4 linked regions of the Caenorhabditis elegans genome follow. The protein of the gene in region 2 purifies or fractionates together with the protein of the main gene of each other region. This does not show direct contact. Each region holds a gene or a part of one and is shown on either strand. Other genes may lie near its edges.

Evidence for each region.
Region 1: the proteins of F26E4.4 (region 2) and W06E11.1 fractionate together in Caenorhabditis elegans (co-fractionation; one large-scale study listed by BioGRID). This does not show direct contact.
Region 3: the proteins of F26E4.4 (region 2) and let-611 fractionate together in Caenorhabditis elegans (co-fractionation; one large-scale study listed by BioGRID). This does not show direct contact.
Region 4: the proteins of F26E4.4 (region 2) and cls-3 fractionate together in Caenorhabditis elegans (co-fractionation; one large-scale study listed by BioGRID). This does not show direct contact.

The regions. Positions count from the first base shown.
Region 1 is NC_003281.10:638,110-646,566, reverse strand, and holds W06E11.1 (RNB domain-containing protein), read right to left. Parts: upstream 4,509-8,457; 5' UTR 4,496-4,508; coding exon 4,247-4,495; intron 4,058-4,246; coding exon 3,951-4,057; intron 3,249-3,950; coding exon 2,751-3,248; intron 2,100-2,750; coding exon 1,721-2,099; intron 1,257-1,720; coding exon 1,038-1,256; 3' UTR 501-1,037; downstream 1-500. Other genes in the region: tag-267 (Major sperm protein), read right to left, coding at 5,027-5,280, 5,339-5,449, 5,493-5,652, 5,708-5,773; tag-266 (Golgin subfamily A member 7/ERF4 domain-containing protein), read left to right, coding at 6,357-6,514, 6,579-6,789, 7,240-7,410; sbds-1 (Ribosome maturation protein SBDS), read left to right, coding at 8,158-8,291.
Region 2 is NC_003279.8:9,769,424-9,775,544, forward strand, and holds F26E4.4 (DNA-directed RNA polymerase III subunit RPC4), read right to left. Parts: upstream 3,143-6,121; 5' UTR 3,138-3,142; coding exon 3,028-3,137; intron 2,981-3,027; coding exon 2,850-2,980; intron 2,802-2,849; coding exon 2,614-2,801; intron 2,567-2,613; coding exon 1,769-2,566; 3' UTR 1,638-1,768; downstream 1-1,637. Other genes in the region: F26E4.5 (Tyrosine-protein kinase), read right to left, coding at 1-378, 622-758, 820-933, 1,013-1,258, 1,305-1,427, 1,474-1,566, 1,616-1,621; cox-7C (Cytochrome c oxidase polypeptide VIIc), read left to right, coding at 3,753-3,884, 4,337-4,459; F26E4.7 (FAS1 domain-containing protein), read left to right, coding at 4,857-4,949, 5,012-5,162, 5,565-5,686, 5,730-5,813.
Region 3 is NC_003279.8:6,252,410-6,259,474, forward strand, and holds let-611 (DNA-directed RNA polymerase III subunit RPC3), read left to right. Parts: upstream 1-2,625; 5' UTR 2,626-2,632; coding exon 2,633-2,695; intron 2,696-2,740; coding exon 2,741-2,833; intron 2,834-2,895; coding exon 2,896-3,017; intron 3,018-3,065; coding exon 3,066-3,349; intron 3,350-3,820; coding exon 3,821-4,140; intron 4,141-4,199; coding exon 4,200-4,344; intron 4,345-4,406; coding exon 4,407-4,618; intron 4,619-4,715; coding exon 4,716-5,111; 3' UTR 5,112-5,211; downstream 5,212-7,065. Other genes in the region: cof-2 (Olfactomedin-like domain-containing protein), read left to right, coding at 19-120, 185-391; cebp-2 (CCAAT/enhancer-binding protein homolog 2), read left to right, coding at 675-772, 818-905, 953-1,069; lpd-2 (LiPid Depleted), read left to right, coding at 1,292-1,417, 1,465-1,602, 1,648-1,897, 1,942-2,257, 2,305-2,431.
Region 4 is NC_003281.10:9,185,694-9,194,787, reverse strand, and holds cls-3 (Protein CLASP-3), read left to right. Parts: upstream 1-3,678; 5' UTR 3,679-3,710; coding exon 3,711-3,797; intron 3,798-4,272; coding exon 4,273-4,656; intron 4,657-4,704; coding exon 4,705-4,833; intron 4,834-4,881; coding exon 4,882-5,158; intron 5,159-5,205; coding exon 5,206-5,722; intron 5,723-5,775; coding exon 5,776-5,854; intron 5,855-5,907; coding exon 5,908-6,141; intron 6,142-6,218; coding exon 6,219-6,505; intron 6,506-6,592; coding exon 6,593-6,806; intron 6,807-7,260; coding exon 7,261-7,824; intron 7,825-7,875; coding exon 7,876-7,995; intron 7,996-8,044; coding exon 8,045-8,104; 3' UTR 8,105-8,230; downstream 8,231-9,094. Other genes in the region: ZC84.6 (BPTI/Kunitz inhibitor domain-containing protein), read left to right, coding at 1-51, 104-289, 340-834, 963-1,144, 1,192-1,429, 1,490-1,569; ZC84.7 (uncharacterized protein), read right to left, coding at 2,037-2,136, 2,247-2,350, 8,256-8,430, 8,479-8,571, 8,650-8,711. UniProt on the Caenorhabditis elegans protein: Microtubule plus-end tracking protein that promotes the stabilization of dynamic microtubules.

The sequences.
Region 1 (8,457 bases), on a different chromosome or scaffold from region 2:
TATAAGCAAACGCGCTCTATTGACAATTGATGGTTGTTTCTTTAAAACTCCAAGTTTTTGTTCACTTTTCGTGGGTTCTTGACAATGAAAATAGGGAAAAATTATGGAATTTTCGGCTTTTTCGAAAAAATTGCGTCACCAGTACGCTAGGAAATATTTAAATTTATAAGCTCTAAAAATCACAATTTTAAAAAGGAAAACTTTGAAAAAAGCAAACACTCTGTTGGCAATTTTTAGATTTCTTTTTCGTGAAAGCAAAATCAAAATCAAGAAATAAAACCCGAAACTTGATCTAAATTTGAAAGAAAAGGGTTTTGATCTCTCCCGCCCCGCCCCTAAAGTACAGCAATAATCTGAAAAATCAACACGTGTTGGCAAATAGCAAAAAGTGTAATATAATGTTTGTAAAAAGATTTGAAATTGATCATTCGGATACCGTTCGGGAATTCGGCTATTTTAGGGGAAAATCGGATTAAAATTCTCGGAGTAGTGAAATAAAAATTATTCAAAATAACAGAAAAATGAAAAACAACAACAAAAGATCAACAAAAATCGGTGGAGAATTTGGTGGTGATGATGGAAACAATAGAATGACGTGGGAGAGGAAAATTGAGTTTTTGGAAAAATGACCGAAATTTACAGAAATTTTGAATTTCCAGAAAAACAATTTTTGTGAGTTTTTTTGTGAAAAATTGAATTTTTTACAAATTGAAAATTTTGAATTGATTTTTGTTCCAAAAAATTGACAAAAATTCCAATTTGTAAAAATCAATATTCTATTAGATATTCTCAATATTGACGGGAGGTTTTTCAGAAGGCAATAATTAAAAAATCGGTTTTTTAAAGGATTTTTTTTGAATTTCAGAAATTTTTTTTTTGAAATTTTCGTTAAAAATTGGAAAAAATATTTTTTGTCATTTTTTCTAAATTTCAAAATTTCAATGGAAAATTGACTAGTTTCAGTGATTTTTTTTCCAAAAGAAAATTCAAATTTTCTGTAAATTCCAGGCTAAAAAGGCTAAAAAAAAAGAAATAAATCATTTTTTCTTCGGGGACTTGGCAGGCGATTCCTGCAGCGACTTCTCCAATTCATTAAATTTCTGAACCCATTTTGCCTTCTGCTCAACCACATGCTTCTTCATAGCCGGATCCTCCAAAAACTGAGCATCCCGTTCGACGCGAAGTCTCCATGATCTGGTAGCTTCACATTTGACACCAAAAGTCGACAAAATTTCATCGGAATCCCGTTCGCTGAGCTGAAACACATATGTTTTAAATTTTTGAATTCATGTAGATTCATCTTCTGAACTCTGATTTTTTTTCGAAATTTCGAGAATTGCTAAATTTATATTAAAATTTTATTTAATTCTTCGTAATTTATTCAAATGCTTCCTAGATTTTTTTCCCCCTTTTTTAAAATTTACATTTCAATCAAATTCTGCGTAAAATTGAAGTTTTTTTGATCATTTAGCATTCAATTCCAATGTGGAAATTTTAACTTCATTTTTCCAATGAAAAATTTGCAAAAAAAAAGCCTCCTAATTTCAGTAAAGAATCAGGAACAACTTCATAATTGAATTTTTCAATTTTGTTTTTTTACTGGAAATTTGGTTGATTTCCAGGAATTTTCAATAAGTTTTTCTTAACTTTTCCAGTCAAATGTTCAGTGGAAAAGTGAAGTTTCCACAGGAATTCCAGTTTTAAATATGAGTTTTTCTACCTTAAAGCATGTCATAAGAGTAAGCCGAGTGACTCTATGACCACCATCAATCAGGCAAAGTGCCAAATCTCGCGCGTTTCTCCAAAGCTCTGCCCGATACAAATCCGTCTTTCCCGCCGTATTCGAGTGCGCCGGCGCCAAATTTTTGAACATTAAATTCGAATCCAACACCCAGACGCCTTGAACTAAACTCGCGCATTCCTTGAGCTTCGCAATCATTTTATCAGTGCTCATTGCGGATGGATCGATTAAACGACGCATTTCAGAAGTCTTCATCACGTGAGATTTCACCATATGCGCCTTTAATTGAAGGTTTGGATCCGGAAGATCATCGATTCGTTGTTTGGAAAGCATATGTTCTTTTCCTGATTCGATTACTCTGAAAAACATTAATTTTAGGGTGTTTCTAGTGGAAATTCCAGTAGAAATGTAAAATTTTTGGTCTTTTTAACGAAAATTACACTAAAAATACAAACATTTTGGAGGTTTTAATGAAAATTACATTAAAAATACAAAAAATTTAGCGTTTTCATGTCAAAAATCTAAAATCCAGGATTTTTCGTTCAAAACAAGTAAAAATTCCTCTAGTTTTGTGATTTACAAGAAGAAAAACTAATTTTCAGGAACATTTTCAATTAAAACAATCCAATTTCAGGATATTTAGTTTTAGAAGAAATAAATTTATTTTTTTAAGGGAAAAATATGAATTTTTAGGCTTTTTCAGCTGTAAAAAAACTATATTTTTGAGATATTTTAAAGTGAAAATCAGACTTTTTGAATTTTTGATGTTTTCCGTCAAGTAACAGAATTTTAATTTTTTTTTCTCAGAAGAAATTAAATTTTGGGAATTTTTAGTGAAAAAAGATTTTGGAAATTTCTAAATTATTTCTGAATTGAATTTCTGAACTGAAAAAAAAAACCAAAATTCCCAAGTTTTCAGCCATTTTTTTCGGGATTTTGTGGAAAAAAACTGAAAAATTCCGTTTTTCCACACTATTTTTCTGTGCAAAATTACAACAAAAAAACGAACAATTCCTCCTTAACACCACAAATAATAGCTCTATTAACAAGAGCTCTAATGCTCATTCGTGAAGCTTCAGGATCGTCCAAAAGGAGTCCATTCTGACTAATTCCATCAATTTTTTCAGCGACAGGGTCACCATCTTTCAAATGAACTTTCATCGGAATCCACATATCACTTGCAATCTTTTTCTCTCGATGTAACGCCGATGCTTCTCGTCGTTTTTTTTGTCGTTCAGTTTCAGGCCGAGAAAATTTGACTCTAACTGCGGCGGAGGATGGCTTAACGTCTTCTTCTTCTCCAGACGAATCTTCATCGGATTTTCCAGATTTTCCGTCGGATTTCTTCTTTTTATTCAACCCTTGAATTGATCGATGCATTTCGAATGCTCCAGTCAGCGGATGAATGAAGAATTCGCCGTTTTTAAAAAATCCAATTGCATTGACTATTGGGTGATCGTGGATGAATGCACGGCCTTCGTAGATCTCATCGTTGGCTCGGAGAGCACTGGAAGAATTGAAATTATGTGAAAAACACACAATTTTCGAATGAAAATTCGAAACTAGGCTCTTCTAAGTGGATAGCAGATCAAATTTTAAAAAACACTGACTTAAAATTGATTTTTCTACTCTTTTTTCAACAAATGTAACGAATTAATTAGCAATTTTTTAAATCAATTTTTTTTCAAAAAACGCAAGAAATCTGTAAATCTGTCCCTACCCTCGATTAGCAATCGAAACATTTAGCAGACCCAACCCTTTTGGTCTGCTAATTATTTAACAGACCAAATTTCAAAAAAACTCCGCATTAAGCCTCAAAAATTGATTTTTCTACGTTTTTTGCTACAAACCGAAAGCATTTTATTGAACTTTTCATTTAAAAAACGAAAGAAATCTGTAAATTCTTTGAAAATCCTCGAATTTTAATCGAAATATTTAGCAGACCCAGCCTCATTGGTCTGCTAATTGTTTAGCAGACCAACCATGGGTCTGCTAAATATTTAGCAGACCCAAAATTGGTCTGCTAATTATTTAGCAGACCCAAAATTAATCTGCTAAATATTTAGCAGACCCAACCTCATTGGTCTGCTAAATATTTAGCAGACCAACTATAGGTCTGCTAAATATATTCTTTACCTTCTACTTTTTTCAAAGCAAATTTCAGGTGTATTTTCATACTTTCAGCATCAAAAACTGTGGTAAAACCTACTCAATTCCATGTCCTTTTTTCGGGACATCTCCATCCATATACATAAGTTCTGCCTTCTTTTTGTCATATGATCCGAGTTGGGTGTCTGTCATGAAGCGCATTTCTAGCTGAAAATCAGTGACATTGAAAATTCGATCTAAAATTGATTAAATTGTGAAAAAAACGGCTACTTTTTCAGATGTTTTTGGGCATTTCTCTAAACGTTTGACAGGATTTGTTCAATTTGTTCAATAATTCTAGTGTCCTATTTTCCGATTTTCAATGAATTCAAGCCAATTTCAAGTGTTTTTCCGTACCAATCGAACATTCTTCTTATATCTGGCAATTGGAAATCGCTTTGCATCCCAGGCGTCTCGTTTGCTCGAAGGATACGAAACAGAGAACATTTCAGTATTTGGTGTGGAATTGCACACAACTACGTCGCATTCCCAAACGACTTGATCTTCAACTGAATCATCCTCTTCATCTGATAGAAATTCCGGTTTTTTGACAAGTTTTCGAATAATTTGCTCTTGTTCGTCGTCAGAAGCACCGTCTACTTCCATTTAGTATGAGATCCTGAAAAATTTGAGCGATTTGGACGGTTTATACGAATTATATATTTAAAAATCGTTTGTTTTTCCTTAGTTTTGTTGAAAAACCCCATTTTTACCTAGAAGAACACAAATTTTCCCGAAAAATTTGGAAAAATAAAAGCTAAAATGCAATTTTTTGTGTAATTAATAAGGATTTTTGTAGAAAATTTTAATTTTAGTTTACTAATATTTTTGGAGAATTTTTAGACACAATTTTTGTGAGATTCTGACTTTTTTTGCGATTTTTCTAGTTCTCTCACGGAAAACTCAGCAAAAATCTCGTCTTTCCAATCAAAAATTCCCAAAAAACCACTGAAAAATGTTAAATTTCAATCAATAAATGCCACGTGGCAAATAAATATTAACAGAAGATGTTAAAACTTCCAAAAATCGATTTAAAAAACCAGAAAAAAATTAAGAAAAAAACATTTTTAGCTAAAAAAACGAAAAATCAACAAACAAAAAGATAAATTCAACAAAAAATGTGTCAACAAGTAAATTTCAATTCATTTTTTCGATAATATTTGCAAGTTTTCTCGGTTTTCCATCGCCTTCCGTAGTGGTTCCATAGGCTTTGTTACGTTGTTGACGGCTTTCCAGGTCCAAAATTGCGGTCTTTTTGATCTTTTTCAGGCCTGGATGGACTTCTGAAGAGCCTTCAACGGGTTCTTCGCCTTCTTCATAAATAAATCCTCCTAGTACCTTGGGCTTCACCTCTTGCGGGAGAATTGTGATGGCGCCAGTGACGAAACTCTCTGAAAAAAATTGTTATTGGGTAATTTTATCAACTTTTAAGCTTAATTCTATGCTTACGAGCTTTAATATTCTTCGAGTCAGCTTCTTCCCGCTCCCTGAACGCCGGAATATGCACCATCCGCTCCTTTTTCGACTTTGGCGCAACAATAGCTCGGAAAACTCCGGATTCTGAAAAATTTCTCATAGATTTTTCTCAATAAAATACTCTCACCTGTCTTCAATTTGGTTTTCGTCAACACTTCCTCGTCGTTTGACCATTTTAGCGCCTCCAAATCTTCTAAACTAACACCAATCGGTTTTTTGATGAGGAAAACTTGAAAATCCGAGCTCTCATCGATCGTCATGTCAGCCACACCATTTCTGGCTTCTTCCTTAATACATTTAATTAAAACCAAAAAAGTTGTAATCAAGAAATTCAATTCTTACCACTTTTTTTACCCGTTTTCCAGATTGCTCTGAGTCCGAGTCCTGGTGCTTTCGTTTTTTGCCCATTTTACTGGAAAATTTTGCAAAATTTCAGATTTTTTAAAATTATAAAACACAAATATATTAAAAATAAATGCGTTTAGCGAAAAAAAATTGGAAAATCTGCAAAAAAAGGAAAAAATATGTTTCACAAAAAAGTGCGATAGGGCGCCGTTGCATACCACAAGAGACTTCACGAAATTGAGAGATTTCACATTGGAGAAATGAGGAACAACGAGTAAATGACATATAATTTTAGATTTTCTTGTTACAAAGTAAATAATTTATTTTCATTTAATAAAATCTTACATTTTATAACACTTTTACTAGGTGTTCAACTAAAAAACCTCGCGTTTATACTGTGACATTCGGAAACATGCGTTCTGCAAACAACCTTTTACCCAGAGAGAGCGTGGTCTCCTTGAGTTCTCAATTTCTATTGATTTTCTTTTTTCTCTATTTTCCAGACGGCTCACTGTTAATTTTCCGGCATTTTTCTCATTTTTTATGAATTTTCTAAAACATTTTCAACTTCAGCCGCTTCCTCACATCAAAATTAACACCAAACCCCTAAAATATCCTACATTTTTCCAGAGAAAATTCATAAAAAATGTCACATGGCTCACCAGCCCCATCGGCGTCGGTTTCCAGTGACGGCGAAGAGCCAGAAATAGACGTGATGCCGAGTAGTGACGAGGAATCCGAGCCAATATACATTCCAAAGGAGAAGGAACCCGTCGTGATTCGTGGAGTTGGAAATATCACAGTGTAGGTGGTTTTTAAGAGAAAAAAAGCTATATTTATCAAAAAAAATCATCGAATTTTCCTTCAGATTTGGCATGAATTCCCGTTTCAACACGGAATATCCGCCCGAACTAACCGGATATATTGCTCCAGAAGAACTCTCGGCGACACTGTCTCGCGTAAATTCTGTGCTCAAACGCCACGTACAAACGTCATCGCGCTGGCTTTTATGTGGATTAGCGTTTTGCTGTTGCTCAATTGGATGCTCAATGTGGCCGGTGTTATGTCTGAATCGGAGGGTAAGAATTCGAAAAATTAGGCGAGATAATTCGGCTCCGTGTTGATTTACGAGGATTTTTTCGCCGATTTTCCAATAAAATTCATCTGAAAAGTGGTTTGAGACACTTTGAATGGGTCTGCTTAATATTTAGCAGACCCATAGTTGGTCTGCTAAATATTTAGCAGACCCACAGTTGGTCTGCTAAATATTTAGCAGGCAATGGCAGTTATGAACTGTTTAGTTTGAAATGTTTGAAACACTTTGATTTAAGGTAAGAAAACCAACTGAAAACCACTAAAAATGTGGAAAGAAACCGCCAGAAACTCGAAAAATCTAGAAAAATTGTGCCGTGAAAAGCCTGTAATTTTTTTTTTTAACCAAAAGAACTGAAAAAATCTAGATAAAATCCCCGTAAATCGACACAGCCCAGTTTTCAGTTAAATTTTCTCTTAAATTCCCCAATTTTCAGACCGTCTTAGCGCTGGAAAAATGTCTGGACCACGAGAATGTTAGCCTTTATCACAAATTGGGCCTCCACTGGTCCCTGGCTCGGCGCCCAACGGAGCCCTCAGACCGCCTGACCGAATATGTGCTCGAATTGAAAACTTTGCCTAAACCCGCCTTAAATCTTCCCGATTAGTCCCCATCCGGAAATTGCGAAATTTTGCACATTTTTCGAAAAATTTCGCATTTTCGCCCACTGTTTCCAAACAAATTTGTACTTTTTTTGTTCTTCCATTTGACCTGATTTTTCCGTATTTCTGTCTATTTTTGTATATATTTCCCGATTGTCATCACCACCACCACTTCCCCCAATGCTTTATTCAGGGTTTTTAGTTTTTTTTTTTTTCAAATCGAATCTAGTCTACCAGGCTTAAATGACTGAAAATTGGCTTGAAAATTATTCGGAAAATATCAAATATACTGAAATTCTTTAAAATTTTGAAAAATATATCTACTTTTCCGAAAAAAAACATGAAAATTCTCATTTCTGAAACTAATGTGAGCTTTTTCGAATTTTTTTGAATCTCAGAAAATTTGAATTTTATCGAAAATTTTCCAATTATTCTTATATACCGAATTTTCAGTCATTTAGACCCAATTTTAACTAAATTCGAATCCGATTTTTCGTTTTTTCGACGCTACGACCCCGAAAAACACCCATTCTTCTCACCTCAACGACTGGTTTTATCTCTTTTTTATTTGATTTATCGACTTTAAAGTTTAAAAAAATTCAGATTCTCCGTTAAAATGAAAATTTAGATTAAAATTTTTTTTCGACATTTGAAAAAAAAGTAGTTTCAAATCTATTTTTATATCTCAAAATGGTCTCTTTTGTTTTAAAATTAAAAATGCCAAAATCTCTTAAAATTTCAGCCGAAAAAAAATGTCAAAAAATATCAAAACGCCGACAAATCAGAAAGTTCTGACCAATGTGGCAGTGGTTCGAATGAAGAAAACCGGAAAACGATTTGAAATCGCTTGTTACAAGAATAAAGTTGTTAATTGGAGAAATAAGAGGTAAAATATATATTAATTTTTAAAAAAATCATATAGAAATCTGAAAATTTTAATTCTCAAACCATTTTCTCAGTGATAAATAAAAAAACAGTTGTTTCTAAATTAACCTTTTGAATAATTTTGTTCAAATATTATTTTTTGGAATTAATATTTACCATATCAAAAA
Region 2 (6,121 bases):
TCTGGTGCTAACCATCTGATTGGAACCTTCATGAGTTTCTGCTCCTTGTGCAATTTTCCGAAGAGAGAAAGACCAAAATCACTGATCTTACAATTGTCGGATTTATCAAGAAGTACATTACGAGCTGCCAAATCTCTGTGAATAACTTGTTTTTTCTCTAGATATCTCATCCCTTTTGCAATTTGTTTGCAATATTTTCTTTTCAACACATCACTCAATTGTTCATCTTTCTTCTCGATTCGACTTTTCAAGCATCCACCAGAACATAATTCCATTACAATCATTATTGGTTCTTGTTGAGTTGCAACTCCATACAATCGGACAACATACTTGTGGTTCAGTTTCAGCATCAGATTAGCTTCACGAAGGAATGTTATTCTGAAAAATATCAGTATTAAAGTAGTGCGGATTTATTCGGATGGGTCTCGCAGTGATAAAAAAGTGTTTTAATAAAAAAAGCTGTATACATTTCATTTCGTTTCGAGACCAGCAACCGTATACTTGCGTCGCAAAACCGCTAAATTGTGCATTTGGGAAATATGCAACATATCCCGGCGAGATACCACATAATTTAATTAAAAATTATATAATTTAAATCGTTCAAGTTTTCAATGAGTTTACCTTTCATCAGCTGTAACTTTACTTCCTTTCATCGTTTTCACAGCAACTTCCACATCATTTGTGAATATTCCAACAGATAGAACTCCTTGGAAAACCTCTCCAAACTCTCCGTTTCCCAATTTCTTTCCCAAATTAATCTTAAAGATTTCAGATAATTGAGCAAACATGAATATTTGTGCATCGAAGAACTCTAAAAACCTGCTCATGGTACAATTGCCATTCTTCTCTGACCACCCAACTGAACAATTTAATTCCAGATTTGTAGACGCTCGCTCTAGTTTGATGATGATAACGGACAAGATCACTTATGTTCTGGAATACCATTAAATACTTTTCGTATAGAAAATATTAAAACATGGTGCATTACATTTGTCAAACGAGAAAATCTTACTTCGAAACAAAACTCTTTCAGATAATAAAGTCCATTATTTGCCTTCTCCACAACCAAATGATGAACACCTTCATCCCAGAACACCGAGAGAACTACCACTTCTCCACGTTTTGTTAGCTCAGTTTTACGAAGAAGGAACTCTCCTTGTGAGCGAACCAGTTTTTCAGACTCTTCACGAGACATGTATCCATGATAGAATGGCTCATCGTCGAGAAGTGCTCCACTACATCCACTCCAATTTGTGATCTAAACCCACTAGTTTCAGTTCCTTTTTAGATAGGAAAATGTTTACTTTCTTGAGTTTAATCTTAAGAACATGATGACTTTTCACTAAGGAACTATTACTTTTATCTTTATTCGGTGCCGACTCTTCAACTGACTTTGAAAGTGAAGTGGATGCACCATCACTGGATGTCTGAAATTTATCCCAAGATATTAAGATATTCCTTCTATATATATACTTCATCCGTTGCTTTCAACAGAAGATCGGGTCCGCGAACAGCGGTTTCCACTTCAGAACGATCTTTATGACGACGATTTCCTCTGCTGGCACTCTGAATCAACTTCAACTAAACTAACACTCCAGACTGAAGAAAAACGTACCAACATTGATTTACTAAAAATTCAAAATGAAATTGTTTTACTAAAAGATGAAACGTGATAAATATGAAATGGAACAAAAAAACTGGATAACAATAAATTGGCAACAACAACAACGACTTGGTGATGGTAAATATCAAAGTGATTATTATAAAATTATGATGTTTGTAAGCCAGTAGCCCATTTTTCTGCGAGAGCTCCCCATTTGCTCTGTTCTTTTTCCAGTTGCTCAATTTTCTTTTCGTCAACTGCGTCAGAAACCTCATCATCTCTCATTTCAACGTCGTTTATTTCTCCTGCGTCATCAATTCGCTTCGACTTTTCATTCAATGCTCCCCAGGTCATTGATCCAACCAGGTTATGCTTCACATTTCCAAGGTGGTACAGCGAATTAATCATTTCTGGAGCACTAGAAAATGTGGATGGTGCTTGAAGTTGATCAGCATTTGGATCAACTTCAAGAAGAACAGTTCCTTGTTTCTTCCCAGTAGTTGGCTTTGATGTGATATCTATTGAATGCCCACCGATTTTCAGAATCATACGTCCTTTACGAGTGACTTGCAACTTTCCAATTTTTCGGTTTTGTGGCAGACCGGATGGTGGAGGTGGAGCTGAGACGATTCCAGTTGGAACATCATTGTCTGGTTCATCCACTTCCATTGACGCTTCCACATTTGCTTCGATATTATTACATATAGATCCGATAACGGATGGAAGCTGGAGATGAAGAAGATCGCTAGAAGAAGCTTCTAACATATTGATCAATTGTTCAGGAGTCGCTTTTCGTGATTTTGGCCCTGATTCGGTATTAAGCGGCTTTTTCTCATCAATCGGAGCTTCATCTTCTTCCAATGAAAGGCGTGCACTTTTGTTTATGATGTTCAGAAACTGTGGTTGATCTTCAGAAGGCAAAACAACCGGCATTATGTTTCCTCTTCTCAGATCACTGATAAACTGAAAATTCGTCATTTTTATTGAGAAAAAAAAGTAGTTAAGCTTACTGGTGGTGGCATCAGTGCTTTGAGTTCTTCCTTATCTCCTTCATCATCACTGCACCACAAAGCATCCCAGCCTTCGAAAGATGCTTTTCCTGCGACGTTTTTCTCTTCTTTTTTCCCTTCTTTGTTATGGTCACCAGTTGATGAAGAAGGCGCTCCGCTTCCTTTTTCTCGGTTTGAATACGAAAACTCTACAAACGAGGCTTTTATAAATTTTCTAAAACTTTCAAACGACTTACGCGAAGCATCTGAATCTTTATCCTTCTTCCTAGATGGGAAATCGCCTCCTAGACCTTCAGAAAATACTCCTCCAGTTTGTATAAGCTCTTGCTTGGGACGGGGACCTGCTCCTCGACCTCGAGCACCACGGCTAAAAATGAGAAATTTGATATTCTACGATAGAAATATTTGAAATACCCTCTCCCAGCTCCTCTTGTCGATGTAGAACCTCCACGATTATTTTTCTGTTGAGCGGGAGCCTCTCGCTTGCCAGCCAGGGACAAATTTGGGCGTCCCGGCTTCGACATGATGCCTTTAATAAAAATGTTATGTTGAAAATTGTAAAGAAAATTAGAAAAATGTCGAAATCAGGTAAAAAATTGCTGAAAATATATTTATGAAACATCGCTCCACTGGAAAACGCACGCGACGCGTGACCGCAGCGCGGCCAAAAGTTCTCGTTTCGCCCGGACTGCCCAACGTTTCCACTCTATTTTTTCGTTTCTTAAGTTTTTTGTTCTATTATTCTATTTTTTTTGTAACAAGTTGTCTTATAATATAATCCCTGAAGCACGCTTAAAACTGATTTCAGTGTTTTAATATCCGAGTCATCCTTGAAAATATTTCTTAGGAGCAAAGTAATAACAAATTTCATGTTCGTTTTTACACATCAAAGTCAGAGTTTTATGGCTCACCGACTATTATGTGCACAGACGGGCTTAATATTTTGAAATTAATCTTGTAAATTGAGCTCATTAAATTTTCTAATAATTTAAAAATGTGTTTTTAATCACTCAAAGTAATTTTTATAAGTAACTTGGTTTAGAATTTTGTTTTAAAAGCTATTTATTTTAAAACGGAATTTTTTCTCTTCTATATTTTTAGTCGGTATGTACATACTTTATTTCATGTTTTTCAGCAGGATGTTGAGCCGCCAAGTCATTCGCCCAATTGTCCAAGCCGTCAGAAAGGGCCACAGCAGCCACTCGCCATCGGCCGTCACGTACACCGGACAAGGACCAAACACTTTCGTCAATGACGGTTGGGCCTCTGCTGTAAGTTTTTTTTCCCTAACGTTGCGTATCTAAATTATTATTGATCAGAACGGAAACGCTATAAAAAGTTATTGTAGAAGTTTCGAAGTGAAATTTTTTTAAATCTTCTCAAAATTACGTATAAAGCAAAACATACAGAAAATGTCGAAAACTTGTTGTATAACTATTTTACAAATTTTTAATTTAGATTTTTTGGCAATTGTTAATTTTAATGAACCTCCAATTTCGGAAAATGGTGTGATAAGATCTCTAGATTCCACAAAGCTTTTTGTAGTATTATTCCTGAATAAAACATTCGTGCCGTCAATATGGTAAACGTATTTATAAAAAAACACAACCTTAAGATGTCAGACCATCTACGAAATTTCAAAATTTGTATCGTTTTTATGTGCAAATACTATATCAAAATGAGTATTTAAGAATAATTCTCAAATCAAATCAATAATTTTCAGCGTCTCCCATTCCACGTCACCAACAAGTGGGGATTCGCCGCCAAGGCCGTCACTTTCCTCGCAATCGGATTCTGGGCTCCATTCATCGTCGTCGAGTATCAACTCAGAAAGGCCAACCAATAAATAAATTAGCTCAACCCGTTTTCCAAAATTATTTTGTATAGTGATGTTGTTTTCTTCTGACCTATGCTGTTTTACAGTGTCAAACGGTACAACAGCACGGTTTTTGACAGAATAAATAGACGACCTGTTCGGATGTTGTTCTTCGATTTTAGAGGGGTTGTGGGGGCTTGTAAGATGAGAAGCACCCGTTCTGTTTGTATCGCTTCCTCCTGTCATATGCTAATGAAGCGGACGGAACCCAGGTAATCTGCACTCTCGTATCGCTCCATACTCTTTCTCTTGATCAAACAAACGGTCTGCCGCCCATGTTCAACCTCCCACGAGCCGTAGACGAAGGTTGAGTCACTTGCATATCGATCGTTCTTCCTTTATTATTAGTTTTCTTCATGTAACCAAGATGATTCCATTTTTAGTCTTTATTTTTATTTTATTCACACCTATCAAGTCAGATCTATGGGCCGAGACGGAACGAATGCCAGATCTGCAACAAGTAATTAGATTTTTGTTGAAAATTTGAATCTACAAATATATAATATCTGAATTTCATTTTAGTGGCGTGCACTTTGTGGTTATTATGCTGTTGCAACTGCATACATGAAGGATAGTAACGCCCGGGTTACTGTATTTGCTCCCGTGGATGATGTTTTCACTTATAATCCGACTATCAGAGCAATGGATCAGAAAGAAACACTTTCACATATAGGTAAAACTCACAAACAGTTGTTTTCGAGAGTCACGAAAAAATACGGTAACAGGTCTCGACGCGATCGAAAAACTAATTTCGAAACATCAAAACTTTGAAACATACAGTACTCTTTAAAGGCACACGCGCCCTTCTATAAAATTTTCAGGCCGTGTCGAGACCTGGTATTGTATCTTTGCGTTTTTTATCGCCCAGGTTTGTAACTGAGAATCAAAATTTTTGGCGAGCCAGGCGTCATAAATTTTAATAAGATGAAAAGTTTTTCGTGAGCCTATAAGGAGTACTGTAGTTTCACCACTACAGTAATCCTGAAAGGCTCTATCTGCTCGAACTTCATTTGAGAGCATTTAAGTCGTGTCGAGACCATAGTTTCACGAAAATCTCATAAGTTTAAAATTTCAGTGGATTCACAAGTTGTCGAACTGACGCAGAATAAACTATGGGACAAGCAGACATTGATTCGTTCGACTATAAACTCAGGTTATACATATATTACACAATTCGAGAACAATCCTGGAAACTTTGTAAGATTGATAATATTGAAAAAAAAATATTTGGAAATTGCAGTCTTACTTTGCAAATGCAGGAATGATGTGCAATCATGCTTCAAATCAATGGGGAATCATTTCTGGAGAACAATATCTTTTTAAAGTAATTTTTTGAAGCTCAATTTTCAGAGCAGTTGAATTGAGTTGAATAGGACAATAGCGAACTTACAAGAGCATACATAGTTTTTTTTACAAAAATGCATTTTGCGATGCGAGACCCATCCGTATAAATCCCGTTAACTCGCCAAAACCTCTCATAGTTCATTTTTCAAATTTTCTAGAGCACCTTATATGTGTTTGAAACGTAGAGAAGTTTGTGAGATAGGCGACAAAAAGTTCCGAGAAACTATAGCTTTAATTCAAAGGCAGGAGAGTAGGCATATTTGTGCCTACAGTAATGACCAATAAAAA
Region 3 (7,065 bases), 3.5 Mb from region 2:
TACTAGGTACTATTCCAGGTGGATATAAATAATTTGACAATTTATGAGGCATTCAACCTCACGACAGTAAATCATACAGATGTTGCAAATGGAATCGTCGTTTGTGGAACAATTTATTTGGTTTAGAATTTTTTATTTGATATCAAGCTTGACCAATAGCAAAATCAAATCAACATTATTCCAGGTGGAAAGTGCATCAGAACAATCCACGTATATCTCTACGGCATACGATTTCTACAGAAACACATACTCCCAACCTTTGATTAAATGGATTAATTTGTACAAGAACGCCAATATGATTAGCTATAATGCTTATGATAAGAGAATTTACATCTACGATCATGGTTATATGCTCTCTGTACCTCCACTTTTGCATTGGCTGGCTAAATAATTTGTGTAGTACATAGTTCATTTACTATATTTTAAAATAAATTCAGTTTTATTCGAGAAATATAAAGTAATTAATTTATCGTGAATATCGTGAAAGTAGCTCTTTCCTATATATTTTTTCAGGAGTTTTAGTTCCCCTTTCTCGAATTTCTGTGGTGTCTCACGCAACGACGCTCCGTTTTACACACTCGCGCGTACTTTATCGTAATTCCACAAAACCTTTTTTCCATCATTTTTCTATTAATTCCATAGTTTTCCTCGATTTTTTGTTGCAATTTCAAGCGATGAGTGGAAATCGGAAGCGAAACACATCAGAGCCTCGTGAGGACGATGAAGATGACTATTCCACTAAACGAAAACGGAATAACGAAGCTGTGAACAGGTAAAATTTCATTTTTAGCCGCTAAAATCTAATTAAAAATTCCAGAACCCGACAAAAAAAACGCCAGGAAGAAAATGACACTGCAGAAAAAGTAGACGAATTAAAAAAGGAGAACGAAACACTAGAAAGAAAGGTACTTGTTTACTTGATTTTTTAATTTTAATTAATTCCCTCTATCAGGTCGAGCAGCTACAGAAAGAGTTATCATTTCTTAAAGAAATGTTTATGGCATATGCGAAAAACGACGGAAATGATGGACCACCACCACCGCCACCACCATCTTCTTCCGCCGTGTAGATAACAATTTAATCAAAGATTTATCCACCATTTCTGTAAATTTTATACAAATAACTCAATTCACGCATTCCAATAACCAAAGAAAAATAAATTTAGAAAACGCTTTACTTTCTTTTTTAAACTGTTTTTTTTTGTGTGGTACGTTTCCAACAATTTATCTTGAATGATCTTATTAATTAACTTTTTGAATTTGTGTTGTATCAAAAAAAACGTTTCTTTCAGATGACCGAAACGGAGCAAGAAGCGTTTGCTGATTTAGTGGCAGAACTGGAAACTCAAACTGCAGAAGCAGTAAAAGCTTTCAGTAAAGTTTTCGATCGGATGGAGGAAACGAACGATGACAAAGAAGTGAAATGAAAACCTCAAGATTTATTCAAAAACTTTTTTATTTACAGGGGCTTAGTCTTCTGAAGCTGAAAAACTATGAAATGACAGCGTACCTTGGAGAGTTGACTGTCCTTATGTCGAAAATGATGAAAGGAGAGTCAATTACAGTAGAACCATCTGTTAAAAGAGCTTTAAAGCATAGAGTGGTATGTATTTTAGTATTCCAACTGTTCCTAAAAAACTAGTTTCAGTTCATTGAAAAAATGAAACCAGTCGAGGATAAGATGAAACCTCAAATTGAAAAGCTACTAGGCCGGTCAAGCGCCGAGAGTGGAGCATCAAATGGTTCTTCCAAGGGAAATCACAGAGTTCGATTAGACAATATGGACGTTGAAGGAGATGAAGAAGAAGAGGAGGAAGATGAAGATGATGAGGAAGGAAAAGGAGCAAAGGAAGTTAAGAAATATGTGGCACCAAGAATTAGAGCAGTTCGATATGAAGGTATGTTCAAAAATTAGTTTTCCGTAAAGTTATGTTCATTTTAGAAGAAGACGAAGCTCCGAACAAGCAACAAGAAAAGGCAAAACGTCGTGCAATGCAAAGTAGTCTTATTATGGAACTCAAAAATCAATACAGTGATGCTCCGGAAGAAATTCGAGAGATGAGTGAGAAGAAATATCAATATGATCGTGAGAGAGAACGTTATGAGGAGGATAACTTCACCAGAATTCGATTGAATAAGGATCAGAAACGACGAAGCGAACAACTAGGACGTTCGGAAACTCTTGATGATTTGCTCAGTTTTGGAGATTATATGATGAGAGGAGAAGATGGTAGAGCACTTTCCGAAGGAAATAAAAGGTAATCTTTAACTTTTAAAATTGTCCAACATATGATCCATTATTCAGAAAGCGTGCTACATCTTCTGGTGCTGGCGGGGACACAAAACGACACAAAAAATCCCAAAAGGAACGAAAGAAAGCGGCAAAAGGAAAGAAGGAAGGACGAAAAAGGGCTATTCGCAGAAGACAATAATGTTTTTTGTTGCATTTTTATTTGCCAGTTGTTGAATTTTTTGTTAACTTTTTATTTGTTTTGTTTTACTTGTTTTTATTGTATTAGAAACAACACTTAAAAAAAATATTTTCAAAAAACAATTTCCAGAGCGGTTGCAAAGCCAAATATCTGTAAAACTTCCAAGGAAAGCTTTTTTACTAAAAGACCTTCAGATCAAAAATGGGTGGTGGAAAGTATGAGACTCAAATGTGTGTAATTATCATCGAAGATATTTTCGGAAAGGTAAGAATTTAAAAACTTTCTTTTTAAACTTTTTTTGAATTACAGATTGTGGCGAAAGTAATGGAGACGATTCTGAAAGAAAGCTGCCAGTTGTCTACTCTTTTTTATAAACTGAAAGGACAAATTTCAAATACTCTAGTTAGTTATATTGATTTGGAGGATATTGAGTTCACTTGCAGAAAAAATAGATAAATTTTCAGATCAGAAAATCGGTTTCCACATTGATCAACTTTGGTTTTGTTACTTTCCACTTGGACACGAACAATCGAACCACATATGTTGCAGATTCCGACCAAATTCAACATGTCATTTCCTCGCCGAGGTAAAAAGTTGTAAATATATTTTATAGAGCCAAATATATAATTTTCAGAGCTTGCCTCATTGCTAAAACGCTCTACGGACCTGCTGCAGAGTCTATCTGCGTCGAACTTATTTCTCAAGGGCGGCTTACCGTATCCGAGACAATTCGTCGAATTCAAGCGACAGATGAGACGGCCGTGTTCAGTGACATCAAGAAATCTTTCGAAGAACTCGCAGCTGCACATTTTCTCATTCGAGTTCCGTCTGTAGAATCAGAAATTCATGGTTGTCCTCAATTTGTGACCAATTTTGATCCATTTGCAATATCTACTAATATCATGGAAAAGAAAGAAGGTAATGAGAATAAAATAGTATAAAGCAATCTTTAAATTTAGAATGCGGTCTGTATTGTATTGTATTGTATTTATTACGATTGAAATCGTGATCAAAAATAAATAGTGAATAGACATGTAGGAAAATGATTAAATTTATTTCTATCATGCATGATACTTAAATTACTAAATATTGAAATCTAAATTTTTTAAAAATTTGTTTTAATTCGTGTTAAAAAGTGGTTCAAATGAGTTCGCTCTTAGAGAAATCTGAAGCACTATGAAATATAAATATTTCAAACATAATAAAACTGAAAAAAAACATTTGCTTGACAGCATCCAAACAAATTGGTGAAAAATGAGTTTTCACCGGTTTTTGGTTCAAAATATATGATTTTCCGAATTTTTTGAAATGTTTTATTATGATATACATATTCGGGCATTTTAGCACCATAGTAATCTTTTTAAATAAATTCCATATATTTTATTACAGGAACATCCACTAGCGACTCAACTTCAAACAACCGAAAGCGAAAAGCTGATTCAACTCCAGAGGATGGTGATGCAGGTCAATATTGGAGAATCAATTGGATCCGATTCAATGGATATCTTCGCGATGAGCTTATTATTGATTATCTTATTGGAGGTGGTTCAAAAGGTACAATGACAAATTTAAATGTCAAAAAAGAAGAAACCATCGAAGATCCACAAGGAGATAGAACTCAATACATCACACAGAATGTGGCTCATCTTATGTTCAAAATTAACGAAACGAGAGCTAAACCAATGAGTATGGAGAGTATCACAGCCAGTGTAAGCCTACTTTTTGCTTGATTAGTGATTATTAAAAAATGGTTATTATTCCGTTTCAGTTGACCGATTTGCAACGACTTGTTAAAGAAAATGGACTGAACCTTGCCAAGCCAGATATTGAACTCGCTTGCCAGATCCTTGTTGATGAATCGGACGGAATTATCAGAAAACTTGGAGAATCAAATGGAGGTATTTTTATTGTCGGTATGTTTTTTTCTCTCTAAATTCTTTGAAGATTTTCAAATATGAAAGTTAAATTATTTCAGACATTCGTCGCGCTATTCGTCAAATCTGTCGTCATCACTGTGAATCGCTCATCAGAGAACAGTTCGAAGGACGTGCAATTCGAGTTATGAGACTTCTTGAAAATCGTCATTATCTGGATGAAGAACAAGTAGAGAAGTTGAGCATGATGAGTGGAAAAGAAGCAAGAGAAATGTTATACGCATTAGTTGAAGAAGGATATGTGTTCAATAAGGTAATTTTCGGTTGAATTATTCTACTTTAATTTACTGAATAGTTGGTATAACACGAATTCAAAAATTATTGTACTTCAACATATTGAAATATTTCAGCCTGTCGGTCGTAGCAACGATTTCCAACCCGCTCGCACATTCTATCTCTACTATGTAGATCTACCTCGTACTATTCGTGGTCTCGTAGAGTACACTTGCAAATTGGTCCGAAACCTTATTGTTCGTCAACGACATGAACGAACTGAAAATAAATCGGTGCTCGACAAGGATGCGAATGTTCAACCAATTATTGAAAACATTCGCTCTTCTGAGCAACTCGATGAAGCTTCAAAGTTGGCACAAATTGCAGAAGTTGAAGAAATGTACCTTCCTGGTCCAGATCGTGCACAATTGAATCGCTTCCGTAAAGCTCAGGCTACTTTGCTGGCTGCTCAGGATCAATCAATTCGAGTTTTGCTCTCTTTCAAATTGTTCTTGGCTTCAGGGGAAAACTAAAATTTGTTACTTCGTTGTTTTTTTAAAATTTATCCGAGTTGTTATGTTATCTGATTTTGTCATATTATCATTGTTAAAAAAAATGAACGTTTTTCAGTTATTTGGTTTTCCGTTTTTGTTGCTTCTACCTTCAATTCCATCACTTTGATAACTTTTTCTTTGTCCTTTGTTCTGTTCATTCTCTTTCAATTCCACATAAATATAAATATAAATAAGCATTTGTTACACCATTCGTTACACTTTCTTCCCTTTCATCCACCACTTTTTTGTGGTTTTTTCTCTTTTTATTCTCATCTGAATGATTCATTCGTTCGTGATGTGTTCCTGTAAAGATTGGCTTCATCACTAAACATGAGAATTGATGAAAGAGTCTATTTCAACAAACTTAGCAAATTGAATATTTATTATGAATACCCCGAAGAGAAATGTTTTTATTGAAACCTGAAACAGGAAATTTTTTCTGTCTTTCTGTTCATTCTGCTTCACACCGTTCAATATTCGATAGTAAGCATAAAAGTTTTAATGATATTGTATTCATGACTATGTGAAACATAACTTTAAAGGCGCAAGTCATTGTATTTGGCTGGTTCCACCACGACTTCTAATCTAACTAACGAAACCGTAGATCTGACAAAAAAATTCAAATTTATTTTCTAAGAAAAATTCTAAATAAATGGCTTAAAACCAAGTCATTTATTTAGAATTTTGAGAACTCGTAGCTCTAGTCTTACTGTAATGAAACAATCTGGGTTTCCACTTAATTAAAGGTATATGAGTAGTCAGTTAGGATTTTGTCTAGAAACATTTACAATAGTGAAAGAATATCGGAATAAAACACTCTAAGCATTTCAAAACATTTGAAAAAGTTCCCTCAAAGTTTTTGGATATTACCAATTTTTAAAAAATTTGGGTTTTTTGCAGGAAACTCAAATCAAAGCAATACTGTTGTCCGAAACCTTATAATGTTAAAATGTAAATAATTAAAACGTAATAGATGTAAATCTAGTAGAATGTATTGGTCGACTTTCAAAATTATGAGTGGCTGAAAGTGAATGATTGTCATTTTTTTCGATCTTATAAGAAAATGTGTTAATTTCACTCTCAGACTTCAAACGAGACAAGCCGTATTTACCAAAAATTTAAAGATAAAATCTCCACTTTCAGAATTATTCTTTATCACATTTTTTTTCAAACGTTTTGCACTGTTTTCGAGAACTTGCTTGAGGAATTGTGGTATGTTTAATTTTGAAGTCTAGGAATTGGCTCGAATACGTTTATTTTCAGATACATATTCTTCTTTCTACTTTGGATTTCCAATATGCAAAGAAACTGTTTAAGAATCTTTACTCGCTTGCCCTTTTCCCAAAGTTTACCTCCTTCTGCTTAATTAAGCAATCCATATCTATGTTGTACTATCTGGAACTTCCGTTTTCCATCTTGTATTTCTCTATTTCTCTCTGTCCACCACCACATTCATTCACCACCAGTAGTAGCCACCCTATCAATTGATCTTGTCATCACCAATTCCCATCATGATTATCATTATATCATCTACATATCCCACCTCTTTCCATTCACTACTACACATATTTATGATTCTTTACATCTTCTTTTTCTTCATCATTCTCGAAAAACTGAATTCTTGTTGACAAATCATTGGATATCATCAGTGATAACAAATTCTTCCAAATTGATTAGAGTGAGACACAAAAATGTTTTAAAAGTTCCTGCCCGCCCAAAAATGTTGGGATACAGACATAAATTCTCGGCTCCACCCATCTGTTTACGATATTGTCCTGTATCTCTGGGTCTCTCTACCTCTCATTACTACCATTCCCGTCGCCAGCCATCTATGTATCTATCTGTGTGTATCCCATTGCCTTCTTCCGAAACGCCTTCACTCGTCTATCTTTTTCCTTTCTTGTTTTCCCGATTCGCTTACAATTTTCGACAT
Region 4 (9,094 bases), on a different chromosome or scaffold from region 2:
CGTGTGTTCGTGGAAAGAGTGGAGCTGAGTTATGTTGTGCTGGTGGAGAAAGTTAGTTCCCGAAAATAATTAGGCAGTTGTACAGTTTGAATTTATATTTCAGCATGCGAAGCTTCCCAAGTCCCTGTGAATGGAGTGTGTCTGAATAGAGTTTTAATTGGAGAACAGTGTGAAGAAACACCTCAATGTGTTGGTGAATCACATTGCATCGCAATGAAATGTTCATGTCCAACTGGAACAATTGAACAGAAGCAACAGTGTATGGATGTCTCAATTGAACGGGAAATAAGTGAGTTAACACTCAGAAATACAATGCGAAACTAATCAGCAAGTTTACAGAATGCACTGATAAACAAGTTAAAGTAGAAGACGAATGTTTCCCGTTGGTAACACTTGGAAGAAGTTGTGTACATTCTGCTCAATGTCAGGGAATGGGTCAATGTATTGATGGAGTATGTGATTGTGACGAGTCATCAGTTAGAAAAGGCCATCGTTGCGATAAGAAACAATCTGTGAGACCTTCTCTACCAATGAATGTTAACAAGTTTGCAACGGGTTCTCCTCATGTCATGAAACAGATTCAACCTCCGATGTCTTCTACATCATCAGCAGTCATCACGACAACAAGTTCCAATTGGCAGCCACAACCTGGTCATGCTGAAATCATGAATGAAGGTATCTGCCCAGCACCGAGACAACCTTACCTGGCAAATGGAATCGCAAGGCAATGCATCAGTGGACAACCATGTCCAGTTGGGTATTCATGTACTTGGAGTCCACAAGCGAAAAATTATTTCTGTTGTGCAGCAAACAAACTAGTCATGAGGACCTATGGTAAGCTAAGATCATCGGAATCTGCGGAAGCATCTTTAATATTTGCCCGCTATAATATGCCCGCTTAAATCTTAAGCTTTCAGGGATAAAACCTTCAGGGATAAAAGATATGAACAAATATTTTTCAGTTCTCAAGGACGTTTGTGACGGTGGTGAAGCTTTGTTGTTCCCGGCAACAAAAGCACCAGTGATTTGTACTCGATATGCAACATGCCCTCCAGGATATTTCTGTAGAAGGTCGCCAAAAACAAAACAGACACATTGTTGCAAAAAACGACAACCTTTGAATATGCAGAGCTATATTATTCAGGTAACTATTCATTCCTTCATCTAGAGAGCCTTCACTAAACATTTCAGATAAAAGATATCACATCTAAAAGACCTGAACCTCTCCGAATGGCTCATTCGATAGCATCAGCAGCCGTTCAGATGGCTTCACAATATATGCACCCAGGACGAAGGCGTCAAAAACCACAGCCAGTTCAGAAAACCAAGCCAGTGAAAAACGTGAAGCCAACGAAAACCACACTTCCCTGCCCACCAAATCAAGTGCTTCTAGAGATGGAAGTGAATCGAAAAATAATCAAACGTTGTCGTAAGTTCAATTTCCAAAAAGAAAGATCGAAAGTTATATAGCGTGTAAATGTTATTGCAGAAGCCACGTGTCCTGTCTCAATGCGTTCGGTCAACGGAGTGTGCAAAATCGAGCGTCGACCACCAGTAGTCACCCAATAACTTTTTCATTCATTTCCCGTGCCAATCGTCTTTCATAAGTATTCTTTCTCTCTATATGAGTAACCGAATGATCGTCAAAAAGCTTTTAATTTGAAAAGCCATCCAGTTGCTCTATTTTTCACATCTTTCTCATTGTTGTTGCGCCACTTTTTAGAAATTTTTGGTGGTGGAGAGACGCTCATTTGTTTTCAACGAACCACAATATGTGGTCACAAAAATCAAAATAAATAAGTTTATTAAATTTGTTTGAATATTGAAATTCAATTGAGAAATATATTTTATGTTAAAATTTTCAATTTTCGGAGATTGTTGCATCGTAATTTATCAGAAGGAAGTTTAGAAGACACATAAAAGATACAATAATCTCAAGATATTTAAAAGAATACAAATTTGATACAAAATGTTAAAATTTAAATTATTCGGTGAGAGAGAGATTCAGAATAAAATATATGCGAGTTAACAGGATTTTATACGTCTGGAAGTGCAACTTTGGCTGGTTGTGCTGGAATCGGAGATACACCACGCTCCACAATTTCATTGTATGATGGTGGCTCGTCACGATACGTGCTGAAATTTGCTAAATGAGTATATGTTTCAAAAATATTTGAAACTTTTTCAAGTTAGGTGGATTTAGGGATTGAGTTTGAGATATATAAAAACACATTAAAAGAACATACCTGATTCCATTATCAGTGATAAAGAACGGGCTTGTTGGTACAGTAAGTGAATTTCGATAAATCATTGGTGGAATTACCATTGTAACATCAACAATCGGAGAAGGCTGGAAAAATGTGGAAATTACTATAATTGACCCTATTCATACAAAATGCATTAGCCTATTCAATATAATCTAAACCAACATGTCATTTCAATTCCCATAATTTCCATAAATTTTCGATTTTCCCTCACTTTATTCTATTTTCTTTTGTTCTTTCTTTACGGACAGCGGAAGGCGATGACTGGCTGAGATTTTAATTTATTGTTTCTTCTTTATTTTATATTTTCTTTCAAGTTGACTGTTGTGAACAAAAACTGTATATTCAATGTGTTTTCTGGAACGTTTTATGAACGTAGAAATATGTAGCTATAATATTTTTGTAATTTCAGTGCATCGACCCTTTTAGGCGCACCTATCGATTCCTGTAAATACACGAAAATAGCATATATTTAAAGAGTCATATTCTGTTAGTTATCCAAACACTCTTCTTTTGTCCTTTTATTTGCTCACTAGACTTTTTTGCAGTAGTTATTTCTCTCTGCAAGTCTTTAGCTTCAATTGTTGTTCAATTCTTCAATTCTAGATGCTCTTTCTCCATTTCCAATTTGAAATTCCATTTACCCTTTTGGGCGCGAAACTACAATCAATTGGCTGCTCGCGGAGCAAGACAACAGAAATGGAAGGACCGAAGAAGATGGGAGAAAGAAGACGCCGGCGCCTTTTCTTTTTTCTCCATTTTCTTCTTCTTATTTTTCCCGTCTTTTTGAGAGCATGTTTATACTTATTTCACATGCATAAATGCCTGCTCACTAAAAGAAAAAAACGGAAAAGCGACGTATAATTTGTGGTTTTTTTCGTTATAATAGACCACTCCATCGAGATATCAAATTTCTCGTAATATTTCAAATCGCTTCACATTTAGACTGGTTGTTTCATGAGAATTGAAACATTTTTTGGCATAGTCTCTCCTCCTGTGCGCACACTCACATCTGCCTTCAAAACCAACATGTGTTAAATTGGAGCGGAATGACATGACGCGTCTGCCGTCCATCCAACGATGTCCTCTCTATGGTATCTCTTGCATCTCTTCTTCTTCGTTTTTGCCCCATTCGGACACAGCTGCTCTGGGTGTTGTCTCCCCGCACTCACACCACTAACCACTTTCTACAACTTTTTGTGCGTCGACTTTTTTGCCCTTTGTATTTTCCTAGTTTATCTTTTCCATCTATTCTCCGTTATTCAAATTTGAATTTCCCGCCAAAATTTGTGGCCGGGAAAAACGACACCTCTCAGCCATGGAGTCCTCTCGAATTATCGAACATTGTCCGCTAATTTTGAATTTCGACGTCAGAAAAGTTTCTGGTTTTTAACAGCTTTAATCTTTTTTTCAGATTTTCTCAAACCATTTTACATTTTTTATGGGATGACTAGCCGAATGCAACCAAAAAGCGGAGTTTACTCGGTTAGCAAAGCGGATTTCACAAAGATTTTCGAAGATGTCCCAAAAGTGGTGAGTATTAATAGGTACTTATAATAGTTCAACATGCCCAAATATAAAAAACACTCCAAAAATTTTTGAACATTTTTCAAAATATTTGAAAAAATTCAGAATTTCAAAAATTTGGTAAAATGCCAATTTACGAAAAGTATGGACTTTTTGGGTAATTTCGAGCACTGCTGCTGATTAGAACCCATTTAATGTTCAAATAGAAATATTTAAGTCAAACTCAAACCCAATTAAAAGAAAAAAAATGTCAAACTCGTAGTTAAAATTTATTTTTTCGATCGACATCCAAATTTATGATAGGTGAAAATTAAAGTAAGTACCATTTTTTGACTGTAAAATAACAAATTTCAAGTAATTTTTAAACGGTTTCTATGATATTTTGTCATTTTCGCACCATATAAGTAGTTTCAAACATTTCCCTTTTTGGCGATTGCAAATATGTTCCAATCAATACAACACTAGATAAAAATCTTTTAAGCCCATCACTTCTGCCGTGGACCTTCGTAATAAATTCGATGCAGTTCGAATTATTTTATCAAATAGTTCCGAAGACTGGAATAAACGACAAACTCAATTAAAAACTGTCCGAAGTCTAGTGATTCATGGGGAGAAAGTTGTCGATCGACCAACAATGATTGCTCATCTTGTTCAACTTCTTGGTTGTTTCGAGTTGGCAGTGAAGGATCTTCGATCACAAGTTTTACGAGAAGCCGCAATAACATGCAGTTTCATTGTTAGTAAATATGGAATCGAGACTCATTCAATTGGAGAGGATATTCTCGTTCCAGCAATGTCACAAGTTGCTGTTAGCACGAAGATTATGGCCACTTCAGCGAGCACATTGACAGAATTTATTGTAGAAGTACGTTTTTTGAATCCACAAACTTATAAGATTTCCCTAAAATTTCAGTATGTACAAACCCGTCAAGTGTTCACAATTCTCTCTTCGTTCTCAACATCCAAGGACAAATCTCAAAGAAGACAGCTGGCTGCTCTTCTAGAAATTGTTATCAGTAAATGGAGTGATAGAATCAAAAAGGTAGTTTACTAATTGATAATAACTAATTGAAATATTGTATTTTTTCAGCAAATAATGCGTCAAATCTGCGAGCTCATAAAATCAGCAATCAATGATGCTGACTCGGAGACAAGAGCAGCTGGTAGAAGAGCATTTGCAAAACTTGACGAAATGCATTCCGAAGAAGCTGATGCTTTGTATCTAGAACTCGATCATTCCAAACAGAAAATGCTTAGAGGGGGAGATGCAGCGTCTTCATGGGCAAGTGTGAATAGTGAAAAGGGCTCAATACCAATTCGTTCGAAATTATCAGCTGGATCGAAAGCTCATATGAATATCAGTGCGAGTAAGTTTTTGATTTCAAACTGGATGTTCAAAGTTACTTTGAAACAGAATTTCTCGCGCAAAGAAGTGCGTCTGCAATTGATCCAAAAGCTACAAAGTTTGCTGGACCTAGTCGACTGGTTCGTCCGACTTCTACAAAAACAATGGCAAGGCAAGATACTTCACCAGCTGGATGTAAGTATTCTAATTTTATATCTATGTTTTTCAAAACTCTCTTGCTTTCCGCCAAAATTCCATATCCAAACCGGCCCGGATCTAGAACAAGAACATCTTCAATTACTTCCACCGACTCTCGTGACACATCTCCAACCAGAAGGAATTCTCCATTACCACCAGAAACACAGAAAGCTAGAGTCAAATATGGAAACGGGTCTTTCTTTGCAAAACTTGGAATGCCGGATACTACCGACGATGATGAGTTTTTACTACCGATTCGAATAAGATCTCCCTTGAAAACACCGACAATAGAAGCACACGACAAGGTTTCCCAAGTTTTGAAAGAATGTTGCTCTTCTTCAGTTTCGGAGAAAAAGGAAGGAATCAAGAAACTGTTGCCTATTGTAGCGTGAGTTTTTTAAAGTTCAAAATGTTTTGACCTCAAAAAATTTAAAATTTCAGTGACACTAGTCTAAACCCAATTGAGATCAAAAACATTGGAAATTGTCTAAATCGGTTGCTTTCGGATGCTTCAAATACCGTAAGCTGATTCAGAAGAGTGCTTTGATTATTTAAAAAATAACTCAAATTTAGATGGTTCTTGAGATCTACTCTATATTCGTTCGAACCCATAGTAGTCGATTATCCGAATGGCTTCGATTAGCTCTTGCAAAATTGTTTGCTCGGAAAGCCGCTGAAACTCTGCCCAACACTAAAAAACAAATTGGTCATACTTTGAACGTCATCCTTGAATGCTTCAATGCTCATCACCAACTTGTCACAGTCTGCGAGCTAATGTGCGATCCGATACATTTGATGGTTCCAAAGGTTGGTATTTTCCCATTAGATTTTTAAAAATACATCATTTTTAAGAATTGTTAAATAATTTTCAAAAAAAATTTCAGGCTCGTGTTGTACTGCTGGAGTATTTGACAAGTCTGCTAGATGAGTATACGGAACCTGGAGCATCCATTAATGCTAAAGAATTGAAGACCGCAATCCGAAAAATGCTCACATGGGCCTCTGATCCTAGACTGTCAATTCTACTAACACCACATGTTGAGAAAGCGATTTGCTCCATGTTTTGTGTTAATGTCGCTGATTTCTCTGCACTAATTAGCGATCTTGACAGTGAGCAGAAGAACTGGATACACCAAACACTTCAGAGAAATGGACTCGAAAATGGAATAAGGTTTGTTCAGTATGGTCATGCATTCGTTATGAGAAATGAGAAATGACTTCAAACTCCCCATAGACATGGCTCATCACTTTTTTGCAGTAGCAACAACATCGCAACCAACTCTGGAGCAACGGCTTCTCGTGAAACAAGCAACACTTCTTTCCAAAAAGAGTCAACATCATTCGGTCTACCCGAGTTTGGAGCACGAAAAGGCGGAACTGGCGTCAATCTCGGCTCGCTCAATATCTCTAACAATCTGGCATTGAGTAGGCTAGAAGAGCAATCAACGTCAAGGCTCATGGAGAAAGTTAATGTGAGTGTTTTTATTCTCTCAATAATTATAGATTTATTCAATTTTTAGAATTTAATTTTCCAGTTTCGTTGAGTAAATAGAAAAAAAAACATTAAAAACATTTTATTTCGTATTAAATAGCAAAATTTTTTACTAAAATTTAAAGAGAGAATATAGTAAAATATTTGATTTATCTGTAAATAATTTTTATTTCAGTCTGAAAAAACACTGAAAAAGTTGTCGGAAAGTTTAAAGTTTCCATTAAAACATTTTGAAGACTTGTTGGATTTTATTTCGGCAATTTTCAACCTTTAGGAAATTTTTGAACATTTGTCCAAATGTTCTAACTAAAATAACAATTATTTTGAGATAAAACAAATATTTGCATATGTTACGTCACTAAATTTCAATTAAAATGATTGAAATAACATTTTTTTAATTTTCTTTTTCCTAGTTTAATATTCAACATTTCCAGCTAAACTCCACTGTCACACTCCCACCTGATACACTGGAAAAAATCCAGAACGTTCAAGACCTCCTACAAAAGATGAGAAGCTCTGAAAACGCGGATGAGCAAGAAAGTGCAATAAGCTCTATTTACATGATGATCTGCGATGGAGGTTTCGGTGTGTGGGAGCAGTGTTATGCAAAACTTCTTCTCAACTTATTCGAAATTCTTTCAAAAAGTCGATCAGAAAATAATAAGAAAATGTGCCTACGAATTCTCGGGAAGATGTGCACCGCGCAAGCTGCAAAACTGTTTGATTCGACTGAAATGGCAGTGTGCAAAGTTCTGGATGCAGCTGTAAATACGAACGACGCAACAACGGCTCTTGCTGTGGAAGATTGTTTGAGAACATTGGCAACTCATCTACCACTTTCAAATATTATTAATATTGCAAAAGTTATTCTAAATCAAGAACCTATCGACGATGAAAGAGCTTCTCTAGTTCTTAAAATGGTAACACGATTATTTGAGGAACTTCCAGCAGAGGAGTTGAATAATATTGTAGATGATATCACTCCAACGATTATTAAAGTGAGTCACGAAAACTTTAGCAAACTCAATTGGAACTCATAACATTTTCAGGCGTATCAATCTACGTCATCAACTGTTAGGAAGACCGTCGTCTATTGTCTTGTCGCCATGGTAAATCGAGTTGGCGAGCAAAGGATGACACCACATTTCACCAAGCTGCCAAAAGCAATGGTAAGGCTTCATATTTGATTGCGTTTCATGATAGCATCACACTTTCCAGACCAATCTCATACAAGTCTACGTCAACAGGGCGATCTCAACAAGTTTACCAAGGCTATAATTTCAAATTTAACTGTTTCTAGATCTCAAATTGACATGATGCATCAAAACGGGTAAAACTCGCATTTGTTTTCAATATTTAATACTTGTTTGGTTTCCAGCTTTCAAATTTAAATAAAATTTCAAAAGTATAAAGTGTAAAATCAACTAACCGGCACAGGTGACACAGGTCGACTATCCTCCCAAGCAATCGGAGAGGATAGAGGAATCACTGATGCACAGCTTTTACGACCCGAATGAATTAGATATGCGAATCGAGCAAAGCAAAATCCAAGAAAGAACAGCACCCAAGAGAGAATATACGGGATGAGAAGAAGTGGGATACTTCTGTAAATAAGGAGGGGTTTATGATTTTGAAGACAGTGTGAAACGTACTGTTTACTGACGATGGACAGAAATATAATATTCTCGACGATTATTAAGATTGCGAAAAAAATTGCAACGCTGGATATTCCAATGAATACATTTCTGTAACGAAAATTTTTTTGATCGAAGATTTGAGCCAAGTTTGGGCAAAAAACTGGCGTCCATATTAGACAGACTTACCGATATGGTCGGAATTTAAGAACAACGCCAGGAGTTAAATATTCTTGTAATTGAAAGCACATTTCCTAGCAATCAAATTATTTGAAATGAAGATGAAGCTAAAAATGAGAAAATCGAGAATCCAAATGTAGTTTTTACTCTTCCCAACACGCACAGATTAACGTCTTTAGAAGCCATAAACTCATAGTAATAAGGCTTCATTGATGATGACTCCCCATTTTCTCGAGGCATGCATAATACGAGAAAGAAAAAATACCAGATTTATTAGGGAAAACAGAGGTGATTTCTAAATACAGAGGGATTTTGTTGAACAAAATATTAATTTAAAACGCTGTATGAAAGTGACCAAAAAATTCGAAAATACCGGTATCAACCAGATAAAAATTTAGGTGAGAGAGAAAAAGATAAATTTTACGGACACAATTAAAAAATAATATACATACAT